Linked DNA regions of Rhinolophus ferrumequinum. The protein of the gene in region 1 purifies or fractionates together with the protein of each later gene. This does not show direct contact. Links are inferred from orthologs where the notes say so. Each region holds a gene or a part of one and is shown on either strand. Other genes may lie near its edges. The genes, in order: GLI3 and BTRC.

What was found.
Region 2: the proteins of GLI3 (region 1) and BTRC purify together in Homo sapiens (affinity purification with western blotting, with the first as the bait; 3 studies listed by BioGRID). This does not show direct contact. The link is inferred for Rhinolophus ferrumequinum from reciprocal best matches to the Homo sapiens genes GLI3 and BTRC.

Annotation. Positions count from the first base shown.
Region 1 is NC_046303.1:55,777,221-55,785,972, reverse strand, and holds the start of GLI3 (transcriptional activator GLI3), read left to right. Parts: upstream 1-4,808; 5' UTR 4,809-4,871; intron 4,872-8,752. UniProt on the Homo sapiens protein: Has a dual function as a transcriptional activator and a repressor of the sonic hedgehog (Shh) pathway, and plays a role in limb development.
Region 2 is NC_046299.1:23,421,001-23,429,970, reverse strand, and holds the start of BTRC (F-box/WD repeat-containing protein 1A), read left to right. Parts: upstream 1-4,389; 5' UTR 4,390-4,524; coding exon 4,525-4,572; intron 4,573-4,888; exon of another isoform or gene 4,889-4,953; intron 4,954-8,970. UniProt on the Homo sapiens protein: Substrate recognition component of a SCF (SKP1-CUL1-F-box protein) E3 ubiquitin-protein ligase complex which mediates the ubiquitination and subsequent proteasomal degradation of target proteins. Recognizes and binds to phosphorylated target proteins.

The DNA.
Region 1 (8,752 bases):
CGCAGAACCAAGATGCCCAGGAAATGAGAGAGAGCAGCAGGAAACGTAAATGTGTCTAGAGTTGCCCTTAGCAACTCAAACCAGTGGCAGTGTAGGAATCAGAGGGAATCCAGAAGACAGCATTTTAGGAGAACAGGAGGTCATTGTAGGGAGATGGGGTGAGGGAGAGAGAGTGATGAGTTGGGTGACCCTGGGGTTTGGAACCTTGATTTTTGCTCTATCTCCTTTGTCAAGTTTCCTCTCTCTCGGTACTCACAGCAGTGAGATAACTCATAGTCAGGGCTGCCTGGCTTGGAGGGAGTTCGGCCTTCTCCAGCTGCTCCCACTCAGGGGTCAGGTCAGTTGAGGAAACATGCAGGAATGCAAGAAACCTTATTTTTGTTTTGGACGATAGTTCTCAAATGCAGCCCATACCATATTTCAATTCCCACCGTTTTTCAAAATGATGAGAATCCTTAGGGAACGACTGTCTTAACTGGCACCTACAAACTTCTGAAAGACATACATACACAGAGATGCTAAGGGTCCTAGTTTCAGCACTAATCTGCGTTCTCTGCTGTAATTCAGAAACATTTGAAATGTTGAGCAAGCTGGTTATGAAGTCTGCAAGGAATCTATGTATTTGCATGTCAGACTAAGGAGGCTCCTGGGAAATGCCTCACCATAAGTGCAAAGAGCATGCAGCAGAAAGGCTTACTCCAGTAGCAACCATTCTGTTAGGGCTGGTAGAGAACATTTGAATCCTTATAAGTGTTCACTACGTTAAGCTTGCAAGTTTGGGAACAATAGAGGATGGGTATCAATTCTTGAGTAAAGAAGCTCCTCAACTAATCAGCTATCTCCAGATGGAAAACTAGTAAGACACCTACACATAAGAAATGTGACTTGTAGGATGCACAAGTGATCTCAAATGGATTGAAGGCACCACCTCCCAAAAGATAACCCCATGATGGGAAAACAAAGCAAAGGTGACAGTCCTGCATTTACAGGAGGGAAGCAGCACAAAAGAGGAAGAAAACGGTGGCTATCATGTTTGGCTCTATAGAAGACTTGTTAATCGTGCACCTGCCAAGCAACTCTCCCTCTTGTCTGGTCAAGAGGAATATAGCATCCCCTAGGACGGGTAACGTTGCAAACAAATAACGCTGATTATGCAAAATGTAGCTGCTTCTGGCCACCTTCCTTGGTTGCATAAAGAAAGTTTGTCTGAAGTGTGAATGAAACGCAGCTGGAAGGTGGAAACTCAGCAGGCATTTGTTTGAGCCCCTGGATCCTGCCTTGCCTGCAGTCTGCCTATACACTTCTGGACTTCTCAGTCAGCAAAACACTCCTCCTCCCCCCTTTAAATTTAACTTGAGCCAATTTGAGTTGGAATTTTGTCATTTGCAGCTGGGAGTTTATCGGTACACATGAAATATCCCCTTGGGATTTTGCAATAATTAGTTGGGGGCTATTGTGCAGGGAGATGGAAGAGCTGCCGTGGTAAGTGAAGGCAAGAACGGTCATTATGTATAGCACACACAACCGGGCAAAAAAGTGCAGAGGAGCATGGGAAGTTTATTCTCAGCCCCATCCTTTGTCCTCTCAATTGCAGATCCTTCATTCTCCTTGTCTCTTTCAGTGTTGAATTGTTCAGGGTTGAATTGTGTCTCTACTCTCCCCCCAAAAAAGACATGCTGAAGTTCTAACTCCTGATTTAGAAACAGGGTTGTTGCTGACATACCTAGTTAAGATGAGGCCCTACTGGAGTAGACTGGGCTTCTAGGCCAATGTGACTGGTGCCCCTAGGAAGAGGAGAGACAAACGAAGAGAGAATGACTGTTTCCCAAGCTCAGTGACGATAGTTGCATAAGTTGGAGGGAAGTGGCTACCAGACACGAAACACCAAGGATTGACAGAAGTTAGGAAGAGGCAGGATCTTCCCCTAAAGGTTTCAGAGGGTGCGTGGTCCTGCTGAGACCTTGATTTTGGACTACTAGACTCCAGAACTGTGGGACAATAGATTTCTGTTGTTTTAAGCCACCTAGTTTGTGGCAGCCGTAGGAAATACAAATATCTTCACGTTTCTGACTTCATTCAATTTGGTGCCCCAAAAAAAAAAAATATCTGTCTTATAAGCTTAATCATTTTGAGGACTCATTATATAAAAATTTCCTAGGAGATTTGCATTTGAAAAGAGAACTGATGAGAGAGAGCAATAAATGACTCTATAATGGTGGAATTTTAGACATGGAGAAAGGGCAATCTCAGAGCCTTGTAGGTCTGTAAGTGCCCGTTTATCATTACAAGAGAGGTTCCAATATTGAGTTTCAGGGTGCCTTTTGGATTTTTAGAGATGTCTCAGGAGACCGCCACCCAACTGCAACCAGAGTAGTTCTCTTTTATGTTTTGGGGTTTCCATGTAAGATTTCATTTGGAAAAAGAGTTCTTGTGTCAAAATAGATTGAAAGTCATTGCATTATGTCACTATTTAACTCACACTAAGGCAAACCATATTTTTTGCCTTTGCCATTTCTGCAAAATGTACCCACTTACATACATGTTTACCACCAAAGCAGAGAGCTGTTAGTTCCCGCCAAGAATCTAAGGTGAGGAAATAGGGACACACAGCAGACACCACCATTATTCCTCTTTTGTTTTTAGCTATTCTGATGGACATATGGGGAAAGATTAGCTGCTTTTTCTTTACTCGTCTTTTTAAAACTGAGAAGCAAGATCTTCATGATCCAAAATCTGCTAGAAGACTGTTTTAAGTAAAAGTCAAAATATCGAGTTTATTCAAGTTGTTGATTTATTGGCTGTCTTTCTTTTTATTTATTTTTTGCCATTGGGTGAACAGAGGAGGCTATCAGGATGTATTCTTTGTATTCAGGTGACTGAGGCAGAAGCAGTACTTGAATACAAAAAAAAAAAAATTGTGACTGATGTTGGAGTTTACATAGGAAAGAGGGGCTTGCAATTCCCTGCAACTGCAAAAGTATAATTCTTACATATTTGTGTCTCTTTGTACTTTCACATGCATTATCTTATTGGAAACTCATATAAATCCTGGGAGGTATGTGGCCTGGTTTTCCTATTACCATCCCACAGATGGGATCTGAGCCTGTGGAGACTCACAGAATCCTTCAGGGCCTGAGATCAGTTAGTGAGGGGAAGCTGGGACAGCCACCCTTGTATCCTGAGACACTTGCTCTGTGCAGTAAGTGGTGGGTTTCCCTTCTTTCCTTCCTTCCTGCCTGCCTGCGTTTTAAGAGGGGTGAGGTAGAGAGAGGGAGAGAGAGAGGGAGAGAGAGAGAGAGAGAGAGAGACACGTCTTAAAATAAGTGCCTAAAAAAGACCTTCAGGCCTACTTTATCTCCACAACTTCTACCATGAATGCTTAAGTCAGAGGCGGCTTTTGTAGAGTCTTTAGAAAAGCAACAAGTCCCAGGAAACAAACAGTGAATACCATCATCAATTCCGTTAAAAAATTCTCCAGTTAAGCATTTGAATCTCAAAATGCTCTTCAAATCATAATAGCTAGTCATTCATCCACCCACTCTCTTCCTCAGTCAAGACACTCAGCGAGTCAACACAAGTGCACCCTGAGCTCCCAGGCGCTGCTGGCTGCGGACTGGTGGGTAGAGGCTCAGTTTACTTCAGGAGAATGAATTTTGGAATGTCACAGGGTTGTTTTCTTTCGTTCGTTTCCTTCCTTTGTTCCTCCTAATTTTTTTAAGTTCCAGGTCCAGGATGGGTACATTGAAAGGGAACAGATGTAGGCTGGCTGACTGAGGAAGGAGGGAAAATAATTTTTACTAGTATGGGCCACTGAAAATAAATCAGGGACAGAGACACTTTGTAGCTCAGGGAAAAGCACCACGTAGGAGTCCAGGCTCCAAGCCCGGGGTCTTTGTTTTTGTGTCCTTTATAAAGTGGCCCTTGGGGACAGCAGGCTGTGTAGTGGGAGTTCCCACTTCCCAGAATTGGCCCCAAGGGCAGATGAGACCGGCGGAGAGGAAAACCCTGAGCTTCCAAAAGCATCCTCTGGCGAGAGGGAGTTTCAGGGTTGGGTTATATGGTACAAGTAGAGGGGGAGCCAATGAGGGGTGTGCTCAGAGAGGCCTTAAAAGAAAAATGGGACCCAAACTGTGAGCGAGAGAAAAGGGAGCCGAGAGGCGGGGTGGGAGGCGATGCGCGCGGGCAGGATGCAGCCCCCGCGCGCGGGGAGCTGGGGTAGGGGCCGGCGAGGGCGTCCCAGCGGGGCTGCGAGAGCAAGCGGGGAGGGCAGCAGTGACATCACGCCCGGGCCCCCTTCCCTTCGCCGGGTGGGTGGGGCCTCGGCGCGCGGAGCGGGCGCGGGGTCAAGGAGGGGGAAGAGGAGGAGCAGGCATGAATGTGTCTGCGTGAGGACCCGAGAGAGGCGGAGGAGGTGGAGGAGGCGGAGGGGGGAGGGAGCGCGCGCGTGGCTCCCGGCGCCCCGGCTACCCCCAGTCCCCTACCTCGGCCCGCGCCGCGCCGCCTCCTGTGCAGCACCGCCCGCATCGCAGCTGGGACCCGCTCCGGGCACGGCGACCCGGCGCGGCCTGGAAGGAGCGAGAAAGCAAAAGTAAGGCAAGCTGTACTCCAAGTTTTCCCAACTTCGCCCCCTGCGGCGGCAGGCGTCCAGCTGCTCGGCGCGTCCCCACGGCGCTAGAGAGTGGCAGAAAGAAAAGGGACCGGGCGGGGGCGGGGGCGGAGGAAGAGAGCGCGCGGGTGAGGGGAGAGTCCGGCAACATCTGTTAAAACTTGGGGGAGGAGGAGCGCGGGCAGGAGGAGGAGGAAGAGGAGAGGAGGGAAAGAGGGAGCGCGAGGGAGGGACGCGTAGAACCGAGGGACAACTTTTCCACCGCGTGAGTAGCGCGGGCTGCGCTGGGCCGGGGTGGGGGGCTCTTCCACCCGCGCGGGTCTCCAGGCCGGGATGGGACCTTCTTCCAGAAAGTCGATTGGATGCCAGGAGGGGCTTACGGTGGGGGCTTTCTTTCTTTCTCTTTCCCCTCCCTCCCGCGGGTGAACCAAATCAGAACTGTCACTCAGGGCCTGTGAGTCAGAAGGGATCGGATTACAAGATCCCTGAAACCGATGCCGGAGCTGCACGAGCGGGCGGGAGCGGGCAGGGGCAGCGCCACCGGCGCGCTCGCACACTCGCCGTCGCGCATACTCGCCTCCCCGACTCGCCCTCCCTACGCGCCCCGCGGCCGCCCGCGCCGCACCATGCCCACGGCCGGCGCTCCTCGCGCCCAGCCCCTCCGATCGCCGTAGTCCGAGCCGCCTGCGTGTCGCGGAGCCGGGAGCCACCCGCCCGCATCCCAGACGTGGGTCTATGGGAAGTTTGGGGACTTGACAGCCGCCGCTGCCGCAGGTACGTCCCACCCAAAGTTCTTTGTTTCGTTGGCCGCGCGTCGGGCAGCCTGCTCCTGCGGTCGTGCGGGCGCCTCCAGGTCGAGAGGGGTTCCCCGATAGGGGGAACCGGAGAAAGTGAAAATGGCTGTCAAAAGCGCCCAGATTTAGAGAGCAACCCCGTAAGGCGTCAGATCAAGGCTTTCATTCGCTTACTCCTTGAAGCTCCCTTTCCAAGTGTCTGCCCCCTCGGCCATCGGGAGACGGGCTGGAAAATTGCACATCCTGGATGGGGACGAAGTTTGCAGCAGCGACGACGGCGCCCCTCGTACCCACTCCCCACCCAAAGGGTGAAGAGGAGCTAGGTTAGGTTAGACCTCTAAAGCTCGGGCGTCTGCCTGCGCACTGTTGCGTCCTCCTTCGGTTCCCCGCGCGGCGTACTGCGGGCGGGTCCGCGCGGGGTTCGCGGCTGCGGGGTTTCCTCTAGCTTGAGCTTCCCTTCGGAGGGCGGGGGAGCGGTGTGCGCCCAGGGACAGGCGCGCCTCCGCCGTAATAGAGGAAAAGTGAAAGTCGTACCATCTGTGTATGATTTGGAATTCTTTCATTTCTTTTTCTTTCCAGGGACAGCACACACACACACACACACACAAAGACATAACAGAAAACAAAAGAAATAAAAGCGTTAGAAGCTGCAGGGAGTGAATGCGGGAGTGTGGGTAACCGTGGCCCCTGCAATAATAATTTAAGAGGCCGAATTTTCACAGAGCAGAACTGTGTATGAATCACTCTGCAGGGGACAGTTACTTTGAGTTGCCGAGGGAAAATGGGAGGGAGGAGGTCGAGAGGGAGTAAATATTTACCCCAAAGTTGGAGACTTTGTGAAACGACTTTTAAGCAGATTGCCAGAGGCCAAAGCACCACTGCACACCCGGGCCTTTTATCCTTCCCAGAACTTTGTGCTCCTGTCCCTGATTGCACCTCCTTCAGGAGTTGCCACCCCTAGAGAGGCTGGACCCAGGCTTCCCTTGCTGACCCCGTGTAGAAAGAGGCTTAAGGAGGCAGCCACCTCGCACTCTTCTGCCCCCACTTCTCATGTCCCTGATGTGCGGTGCCGAAGAGATTCTGGCCTTGGGTGCAGTGCTCGTGGCCCACTGCCAGTTTATATGTACATGTATTTATGTAAAACATTTTCTCCCAGCTCCTTGCCAGCTGTTCCACATTTTCCAGCTGCCATTTCAGTTTGAAATGATGGACTGTCCGCATCTCCCAAGTAAAAGAGCCCTGTAGTCAGAGGTGTGGGGCCACAAAAAATAATTTTTCCTCCCATCTTCTGAGTTCTAGCTGGGCTAATAAATTAACATGAGAGAGATCAACAGGGAAGAGTGTCCAAAATTTATCACGGATGTTCATGCCGGGGTGCCATCAGAATATGAGGCCTGAGGATACATTGGGCTTTGAGGTTTCTATGCCATTCTGGACAAAGGAGAGGGAAGCAGGGGTCTGGGATTTCAAAGGGAACGTGGGCAGTTTACAGGTAGATGAGAAAGAGCAAACATGTGGTAAACAAACTCTTGCTGGGCCACCCAGAAACAATAGGACATAGAGAGAAGTCCAACAAACAGGCTTGGCTAGATTTCTCCCTCTCTGCCACATTGAGTTTAGAATCTGACGCTAAGGTGATGCTCCTATCCTTTAAGCAGGTTTTTCTGTCTGAATTCCTTTAGGCAGGCAAGGGGAGGGTTCTTTCTGAATCTTTTGTTTCGTAATAAATTACCATTAAAAGTCAATATCCCCAAAGGCGTATTTTGGGGTGGGAAAAATTTGGTCCCCCTCAAAGGTATGGAGGGCAGGCCGTTGTGCAAAGTCATGGGCAGGGCCATTAGTCTGACTGATAGTAGTTCTGAAAAAAAACACTTCTGCTCTCCTTTTCCTTTCCTCCTCCCCCCCAATTCTTTCCAGAGCACTTTTCTGGAAATTCACAATAAGTCGGCTTTTCCCCCCACATGTGATTTTGTACAGAATTTGGATGAGTCCTTTTTTTCTTGAAGATCCCTGAAATATGTGTATGCTGCTAGAAATAAATTAACTTTTAAAAAGAGTTTGAGTGTGTTGGGCATGGCTGGTGGGGTCGCCTCTGCCTTGGGCAGCTGAAATGATTTCATTTCAGTCTATTTAAGGTAGGAACTATTCATTCTTCCCGTTTTACGCTTTTTGTGTTGTTTGATGTCTTAGCGTATTATAGACTGAAATCTTCAAGAATTGGCCTAAAGTATTAATTTTGACTATTTATGTAATTGCTCTGTAATTTGAATAGGTGCCTTATTGATTGATTCTGGTAATTATTTCATTTAGGTTTTAAATTAAAAATTAATAATAGTCTGACAGTTTCTTAATTACATGTGTCAAGATTATTTTGAAGGAGGAAAATGCTATGTTTTAAAGTAGTGAAATATCCTCAAAATCTCCTCATTTTTCGAAAGCATAACAGTATTTCAGTTGAATATATTAAGGCAGTGGTGATAGGTCTTAACAATGTAAACTGTGTGAAGTATCTAAAGAATTTGTTTATGTTAGGAAATACTGGTCTTAACCTGGTACATAAACACTTTGGCCAGTTATAGTCAGACCTAAAACAAACATGAAATAACATTTAAATTAGTTGTAATAGCCAGCATACTTATAGAGAGAAGAGAATTTATTTTATGCTAAAAGCTATTTAATTAGAAACTCCCTGCCTAAGGGCAGATCCTTTCAAGATATGTAATTCTTAAAGTTAGCCTAGGGAAGCTTTGGTTTCGGATGCTTGAATGAGTCCAACTTGAGAGGTGTCTTATGAAGTACTTTAAAAGGTATAGATTATGTTATAATTAATAGGTTAGTAGGTCCAACTCGATGTCTACCTTTAACGTGTTTGTATTTCTTGATTGAACCCTGCTATCAACACGTTTTATTGTATGTCTGATTTGCAGAAAACTACACACACAAATGAGAAAATGAGTACTGATGAAAAATGGCTCTGTTGAGTTATTTCATTACTTATTTAATAAAAGAGTCATTAATTTATCATTTGATGCCCAAGCCTAAAGTTGAACTTTCCTTTGTTTCTAGGCTAGTTCTCTTAATTACCTGCATGCTATGCTGTAAGGGTTTCAGACTTCTGTGCATTGCTGGTTAGAAGTCCTTCCTTCTTTGTAAGCTATCCTGCTCACTGAGATTCTCCTTCCGCCCTTTTTTGAGGATAGGGTTTGGGGATATATGAAAGGAAACAATTTAATGATCATTGTTCCATGTAGTCACTTATATGGACAGAAATGTACTAGGAAAAAGCAGTCTTGAAGGAAAAGTGAATCAGTGAGTCATGAAATCCTCAAGAAAACCTTGGTAATGGAATGTT
Region 2 (8,970 bases), on another chromosome or scaffold:
AAATGACTCTTACGTGCAATCAGAGTTGAGAACCCCAGCAGGTATAGGAGAGGGGAATGCCATGCAATGAGAAAAAAGTGCAGGCAGATGTGGAATATTTCTGACTCCAGTCTGCTATGTGTTATAAGCACACACTACAGAGATGGTGGGAGTTAGAAGAGCAGGAGGGCATGATTCTTGTGGATTGGGTGTTGCCAGAGAAGGTAAAATGTGTAAACTGGCTTAAAAAAAAAGCGAAAATCTCAATGTCAAGTGTGGTGGAGTAGTGTGGTGGAAGCATAGACTGTTGTGGTCTTTCTGTACTGCAGTTTGACATTACATAGTCCAACTAAATATCCTTAATAGTCTATGAACCAGCAAGTATGATTTTTCGGTAAATATTCTCAAAGATAGTGTTGCTCAGGGATCACGTAGGAGGTTGATCACTACAGCTTTATTGGGGGTGATTGGAGGCTTTGCTGGGAGAGTAGATAGGTAGAATGTGGGAGCTACACACCATCAGACTATTATTCAGCAGTTAGAAGCAACAGATTAGATGTACGTATAGCAACATGAATGGATCTTAAAATCATAGATACTGGGTGCAAAAGGTATGAAACATAGTAAGATATATAAAACAATATTACATTTGTGAATTGTAAATGTAGCACACCACCTCCAACAAAAAATGCAGCATACAAAACAATATTTATTTTGAAAGACCCATACAAATAAACATTGCCTGTGCGGGGAGGGCAGGCTGTAGTGCTAAAAGGCAATAGATAACTATTTTTCAAAAGTAAGATTTAAATCAGACCTTGAAAGATGGGTAGGAAAGAGGAGGAAAAGGAAGCCTTCTAGAATGGTAAAATGACTCCCATAAGTTAAGGCCAGGAGGCAGGAGTGTGCTAAGCACGTGGAGTAGGAGAACAGTCTATTTGGAGCAGAGGGTTATATTAAAACAAGTGGGAAGTAAGGCTAGAGAGGGAGGATTGGATAAGATTTGAAAGGTCTGGAAAGCTAGAAAAAGGAATTTAAGCAATGATAAAGTAGTTAAGAGAGCCATAAAAGGATTGATCAGGGAAGAAATGTGATGGAAGTGAAGTCAGATGAGGCGGATGGAGAGAGCCTGGAGTCAGAGAACTGGATGGGAAGTGAATAAATACTATAGTGAACTAAGAACAAAGATAAAACAGGTAGTCTGGAACAGGCTTGCATTGGAGGTGGAGGCTGAAAGAGACATTTTGATAGATTATTGGCTGAATACAGACACTAATAGACAAGGTTAAGCCAGAGTACCCTGTGGTCTTAAACAAGGAAATTAATGGAAGAAATTAAGTCCAGCAGTAGCCTGAGATTTCTCACACTGGAAATCCAGTTTTCCAGTAACGTGGAACTTTAAAGGTTCTAATGATTCAGTCTTCTCCTTGAACAAGCACCATAAGCCGGGCTCATAGGTACACCCATTTTAGAGATGGCAGAGATCTTTGTTTTCCAGATGACAAAAGAGAGGACCAGAGAGGTTCAGTTAATTGCACAAATACAACCAATTAACTGGAGAAAGGATGGGCTAGAACCAGGTCTCTTAACTATTAGTCCAATGAACTTTCCTAAACTTTGTTGGATACGAGAGGCTTGAAAATCAAGGCAATTCACATTTGGATTTCTGTTTGCCTGACCATGAGTGGTCAATTTTCAAGAAAAAGGACTTACCCTTTGTGTACCCAGCCCCTGCCAGCTTACTTTCAATCCATATGCATATGAACTGTCTAGCTGGCTGGGCTTCTAAACAAAAACTCCTTGTGTTTGTTTTACTAATCCTGACCTCTACATGACTGGACAAAGTGAGGACTGCCACTGACTGCCAGCCTCATCAGGCAATATTTTCATCCTCCTCTCTGGATAAAAAAGTAAAACAAATGACTTCTAAAAAGAATAAAACCTTAGAGTTTGAAAGATCTTAACCTCCCACCCAAACTGAACCCCCCTGACAGATGGTCATCCTGCCTCTATGTTTTCAGAAATAGGGCAGTCTATTCCTCTGTCAGGACAGCTCTGATTACTAGAAAGCTCTGAGTCTGAGTCCTATGTCACTGTAGTGTGAGTCAGTGAAAATAGCACAGGCCTTGGAGTCAAGCAGACTTGAGTTAGAATCCTAACTATGTAATTTGCTGCATGACTTGAGCAAGTTATTTATCTTCTACCAGTATCATTCACTTCATCTGTACATTAAGGATAATATCAGTTTTACAGAGTTACTATGAATATTAGAGATTATGAATGTAAAATGCCTACTACAGTGCCTGGCACAAAGAGCTAATAAAGTGATAGCTGTTGTTATCATCATCATAATTATTATCCCACCTATTGGTCCTAGTTTGCCTTATGGTGCTACATATACATGCCTTTCAATACTTTTGAATACTTAAATTTAGTTGTCATGTTATTCCTAAGTGTTCTTTTTTTCAGAGTAAGCATCCATCAGTATTTTCTCTTTTGGTTATCCTTCTCTTGGCTATACTCCTGCATCTGATGTTTGTAGAACATGGTGCCTGTAACTGAACAAAGTACTCCAGGTGTGATCTGAGTGCTTCAAAACAGAGTAAGACCATAAGCCTCTATTTCCCAGACACCACTCTTCAAGCTGCCTAGGACTCCTTTGGCTTCCCCCCCCCCTTCTTCCTCATCCCTCCCCACCCCCAGCCCCCTGACTCTAGTTCAAGCTGTTATTTTTCAGTCTAGCTGTGTAGGACACAGCTCCCTGGCCCATGCTGGTATTATGAGCCTTGCGTTCCCCCTGGCTGAGGCAGTCGGTCGCCTGTCGTTGGTGCGCTGCTCACAGCGGCTCACAGGCAGCTCTGGCCAGCTGCCCACTGCTCATGGCAGCCCACAGTAGCTGAGGGCAGCTCAGGATGGTTGCCGGCCACTCACATTGCCGGCCACTCTCCAAAGCACACGACAGCAGGTGGTAGCTCATGCCAACCTCCGGCTGCTCAGGGCAACCCAGCTCCAGGGAGAACTGTTGTTCACAATGCTATAGAGGGCGCAGCTCACTGGCCCAAGTGGGAATCAAACCAGCAACTTGGGCATTAGGAGCACTGGGCTTCAACCACCTGAGCCACCCGGCCGGCCCTCCTTTAGCTTTTTTGGTGACCATGTCACAGACTGTCTTAGTCCTATGAAAACCTCCAGGTATTTTTCATTTGAGTGAGTTTTAAGTCTTCCACATTTTTGCACTTGTGTAGAATTTGTTTTTAAAATTCAAGAGTAAACTTTTTATTGATTGAAAGCTTATTATGTATTAGGTATGGTGCTGAGTTCAATACATAAGGATGACTAGGACAGAATATCAACATATTAGAAATGCAAGCTCTACAAGACTGGGTCTATCATGCTCACTGGGTCTATCCAAGAATCTCCATTTCTTGGAACGATGTCTCCACATGGTTATGTGCTTACTGTTGTTGAATTAGCGAATGAATAGTTTATAAGGGAAGTTTTTCTTATAAGTGAAAAGGCATTTCCCCAATTCACTTATTTTATAAATTCAGATTATTATTATTATTTTTACAACCCTATCATTTTTAGACCAGTGTTTTTTCCATCTAGGGTAGACCCAGTTTCCAAAATGAACTTGTACTGTCCCTTTCAAGGCCAAACTAAATACTTATATGCTTTATTTGCTGGATGGCCATTATGTTCCACTATTGAAGGTCTTTGTAAGTACTTGTTTGACCCTTAATGCAGGGCTTACATCTCATGGTTAGCAGTAGCAGCTCAACTTTCTGAGTGCTAACCCCCTGAGAATTTCCAGAACCGAGTTCTATTGGGCCCTGCCTTGGTGTGGGGGAGAATAAGGTCCTCGGGAGAAGTGTTGCTTAGGAGGACCTTGAAATTCTGCATTCGTCTGTGTAAGGGGCGGCCAGATGCTTATAGGCCCAGCGCCTCTGGGTCGAAATCCATCCCGCAGAGGTCAAATATATGAAATTTAGGGGTGTCCAGTTCTCTAAAACCACAGTTAGGCAGGTCTTAGGAACTCTGTAGAGTCCTCACAGTGTTTCCCAGTATTAATGGGCTACAGCTGAGGCACTGGTCGCCATCTTGCTATGAAATGCCAGGCAAGCGGTCCCTGGCGTCTTTTGGTAACCACGGAGACACCCTTGCCCCTCCCGTTTTTCAGCCTGTCGAGGCTATAAACTACGATTCCCATCAGCTGATTTCCTCTACTAGAAGGATAGTTGTCTAGATTTGGCTTGTCAGTCACCGCGACCCTGCCGCAGTGAACCGCGGGAGTTGCAGTTCGCGGTGGGACCTCACTTTTTGCTGCGTAAAGCTCCAGAACTACAAATCCAGTGAGCCAGTGGGTTTACGCATGCGCACGAAATAGCCGGTCCTCCCTGGCCCCCCTGGCCCCCCTGCGGGTGCCTGAGAGGTAAGAGGGCGGAGGGAAGAAAGAGGAGGCGGGATCCGGGCGCTGCGTTGGCTGCGGCCTGGCACCAAGGGGGCGGCCCCGGCGGAGTGCAGACCCAGTGGCCCCCGGCGATTATGGACCCGGCCGAGGCGGTGCTGCAGGAAAAAGCGCTCAAGTTTATGGTGAGGAGAAGGTGCAGGCCGGGGAATGGTGTTGGCGGTGGCGTTGGCGGCATCGCTGAGGCTCGGGCCTGGACAGCTTGTCCGCCGGAGGAGGGGGCAGCGGGACTGTGGGCCGAGGCCGGCAGCGGGGGCTGCTGAAGGGGACGGGACAGGAGCTCCAGGGAGGCGGGAGGGGGTGGTGGAGAGCACCCGGGGTGGGGGCAGCAGCTCCGCCATCTTGTGGATGAGAGGCCAAGTGACAGCGGGAGCTTAATCGGGGAGGGGGCTCCGGGCGGCGCGCGGGGCCCTGGAGGGAAAGGGGCGTGGGGACAGTTACTGAAGTGCTCGAAGGGGAGACGCGGTGAGGCCGCTGGCAGGGCCTTTCCAGTGCCAGGGTCACGGGTAAGGCTTGGGAGAAGAGGTGCATTCAGGAGTGGGGAAGGGGAGCGCGGAATAGTGGGAGGAAAGAGATTGGGGGGAGGGGGACCGGCAGGGCTGGATGCAGATGGATCTGAGGGTGGAGGAAAGCCAGGGCTGGTGCGAGACTTGTAGTTTTATAAAATGAGGGCGTAGAAATAGCCTTTACCTTCAGGGTGCAATCCCAGCTTGGCCAAACTAATGTTGGCAAACTCTGGAAAGGAAGAGGTCTTAGGAAAATAAGAACTGGGGATGGGGATCTAGGGTTATGGTGACAGTCTCTGGGAAAGGAAGGGGGGTGTTGACTATGAGCCAGAATTACAGATGTCAGAAAAGGGGGTACACATTCTACTTTGAAAGGAGAGGCCAAATATTGTAGTAAGGATGAGGAGATGAAAAGCAAGAGGTTGATTGGTCAAGGAAACCTGGGTTACACGAGATTGGGGGCAAATTAATATTAATAGGGTTAAAACAAAACAAAAGTGCTAAATTGTAGAGATAGTAAAGTGGGGGCCAGGCGCTATATCACTTTCTGGGAAAGGAAAGGCGGTGGAGATTAGAATCACAAGACCTGTGAGTGATGAGATCAGTGGAGAAATTCAGGAGATAAAAGAGGGAATGTCAGTAATGGGAAATGGGAGATGTCACGATTGGTGGTTACTTATCAGTTTTAGGTTGAAGCACACATCAGGAGCTTGGATTGAATTTTGTGGGTGTGTTTAAATCCTTTGGAGCCCAGTTTTTAAACTTTGTGTCATGCTTTTTTTCTATGTTTATGTTTGGCAATTTTTTATAGTCTGATATTTGATGCTTTTAATCTGATGCTTCTTGTATATCCTAGGTGTAAAACCAGACTTTATGGTTACAGCTAAAGAATGATGGGATGCATAGACTTCTACCTTAACAGGTGGCCTTAGGGGCATTGATATTATTTGCAGTCAATACCTTTTCAGAAGTAATTGTAACCTGTCACTACAAATCTTACTTCTTAGTTGTTATTTTGTGTCTTTGCCTGAAAAACCAAAATAAATCTAAATAAACATGGACACTAACCTAATTCCATTTAGTCTTTAACCGGCCCTATTTACAAGAATACATTTTCAGAGACTGGTCAGATTTACTAAAACTTTATTTTGTGTTAGTGCTTTCGAAAACACCTAACTAAAGCTTGAGTGTATTATCAACAAAATTCCATGTTGGAAAAGGTTCTTGAGTTTGTACCCAATGTTGAAATTCTAAAATATTAAGACAAGACTTTGACATTTTTTGGACTTCAAAAGTAAGAGGAAGTTGCTTTATATCTATAGCCAGCTTCTATATTGAAGTCAGAAAAGTGGCAGATGCTTATTTTTATTTTCCTCCTTAGAGGTTGACTTAATCCTAATCTTGACACTTCTGTTAGTTTTATGGAATAGTGTGATTTACAGATCATAAAGAGACATTATGAGATCATCTATTCTCAATCAGACCTCAGTCTAGGAATATTCTCAACTACTTGATCCCTGCTTTGTACCAGTGAGTTGTATTTCGATAATGGTCAGATTCAGTTAAAGTGGATCTGGAGATGGCCATGTAGTAGTTTGCAGCTTTTAGGGCACCACGTGTTATTAAATGTTGAGTCAGTTTCCAGAGAGAGAAGCCAGTTTTTTCTTTAGTTACTTTTATTTTTGACCTTGCCTGCTATTGTGGCTGCTGTTTGAGAAAAGGCCAACTGAAAGAAGGTCACCAAGAATGTCACCTTAATAACTGAAGCAGAGAATGGAGAGTTAGAGATTTGGTATTCTTTTTCAGCTCAGTAACAGCCTTATTATGAATCTGAGTAAGTCTCAACTTGCCTTTGGTCCCATTTACCCTGCTTTGTAACATGTCTGTTTACTTGGAGTCAATTTTGAGATAGGAAGATATTTTATTTGTGCTTGCACCAAGTGATTAGTACACAATACACATGGAAGGGCTATGCTTTTAATCAAATTGATAATTATATAGAGTGTATGGCTTTGTTTTGGCCTTATCTTTCCCTCAGTTGTGAATTATGAATGACAGTTTTTGTGTGGATGCCCTGACTTCCATAGTTTAAGAAAATGCAGTTTGTTAAAAATACCAAGATGAAATGGATATTCCCTTTTACGTATTTTGCTCATTACCACATTAATGTAGTGCTTCAGTTAGGAATTTTGCAATAGAATCTTATTAATGAGACTGCTAATTCAGACTTGCCCATAATTCGCATGTGGTCTAGATTTAAAAGTTTATGCTTGGATACTTGTGAAAAGTAGTTTAACTTCTAGAAACAAATGATATTAAAGAAGTAGTTTACGTTAAATAACCTATATGCTAATATCTCTCATTCAGCTTTAGCAGGTCCTCAAGGATCTTTCCTAATACTTCCTTGGTCAACAAAATTATAATTCCTCAGAAAAGATAATTGGGAACTGGGAGAGGACCTGAGAAGAGAAATGAAAATAATTGAGGGAATGTAGGCACCATATAGGAGAGATATAGTTAAAAAAAACACAAAACTATATATATATATATATATATATATATATATATATATATATATATAAAAAAATGGAAAAGCAAGTTGAGGGATGAATTTTAAATTTATTTAAGAAAATGGACAGGGTAAACCAGTTCCAGAATGTTAGAACTGGGGAAACATTTGAAACTTGGATGAAATAATTTAGGGCATATAAAAGAGTTTTTTATACAGTTGATAGATAAGTGAAACTGTATAAAGATAACTTGCTGTATAACGAAGCACCCCAAAATTTAGTAGCTGAGAAAAACCCAGTTAATTATTTCTTTCAAATCTGTGGTTGACTGATGGGTTTTCTGCTTTCCTTGGTGTTGGCAGGGGCACCCGCAGGATTGGAATGTTCAAAATGGCCACACTCCCGGGGCTGGCGGCTGACTGAGTTCAGCTGGCTCTAAAGGCCTCCAGGCCTCCTTTTTGGGGCCTCCTCTCTCCACCCGGCCTTTGGATTTCCATAGAGCATGGTCCCGCGCTCTGAGGAGGAGCATTCAAGGAGATAGGAAATAGAAGGCAATGAGCCAGTTCTTTCAAGTCCTAGGTTTGAAAGTCTGAGAAGGTCGCTATTGGCCAAAGATAGTCAAGGGCCAGCCCTGCGTCAGAGGGAGGGGCAGTAATCTCCACCTGCAGACATGCACAGTGGCGTGCGTAACACAGGGGGACGTTGCTTGGGGGTGGGTATGCCCTTTTGAGACTGGCTACCATAGATGCTATTCTAGGTGGATGTCCAGGCTAAACATACAAATGGGATCAGCCATATTGTGGGTTTTAACACTAGGACTGCTTTAGAGGCATCTCTTTTCGGAGGTTAACTTCTCAAGGAACGAACATGCTCTCCTTCATGACTTGCCTTAATAATGTTACTCTACACATAATACTGGGTGAATTAATAATGATTCAGTAACTTTTCTTATTTGCTTGAGAAGCATTATATCTAAAAGCAAGAAATTACATTAAAAATAAATACTCAGATTTTTCAGTGTACGGGCTTTTAATTGGTAAGGTTGATTACCAGCTGGTTGGATGAACATTTGAAACCACTTCTTAAAGTTATCAGAGTTTCTCTGTATCCCTTACCTGTTCCCAATTTACATTAGCCTTCAGTTTCTTTTCGGGATACTTTTATACAGTATAGGTATTGGGCTATGAAATTACAAATTAGTGTTTTATATTGTATTCATTTTTTTGATTCATCTTTGTAATAGGTGCACCATAACAAATTACTGGAAGTGATTTATAGATGTGGAATAAAAATTCTGTTTGAATGGTTGTCAGAATTCTTTATTGCTATATTAGAAAATGAACTTTCAAGAGACCACTTGTTATTCTGTATTATTTGTATACTGTTTAAATCCTTAAAGAAAGGAAGCAGATAAGAATTTTTTTTCCTTGCTAAAGCGAGACAGAACATTATGTAAGATCTTCTATTTATTTAATTTTCTTTTTCACAGTTACTCTGACCCTCAGGA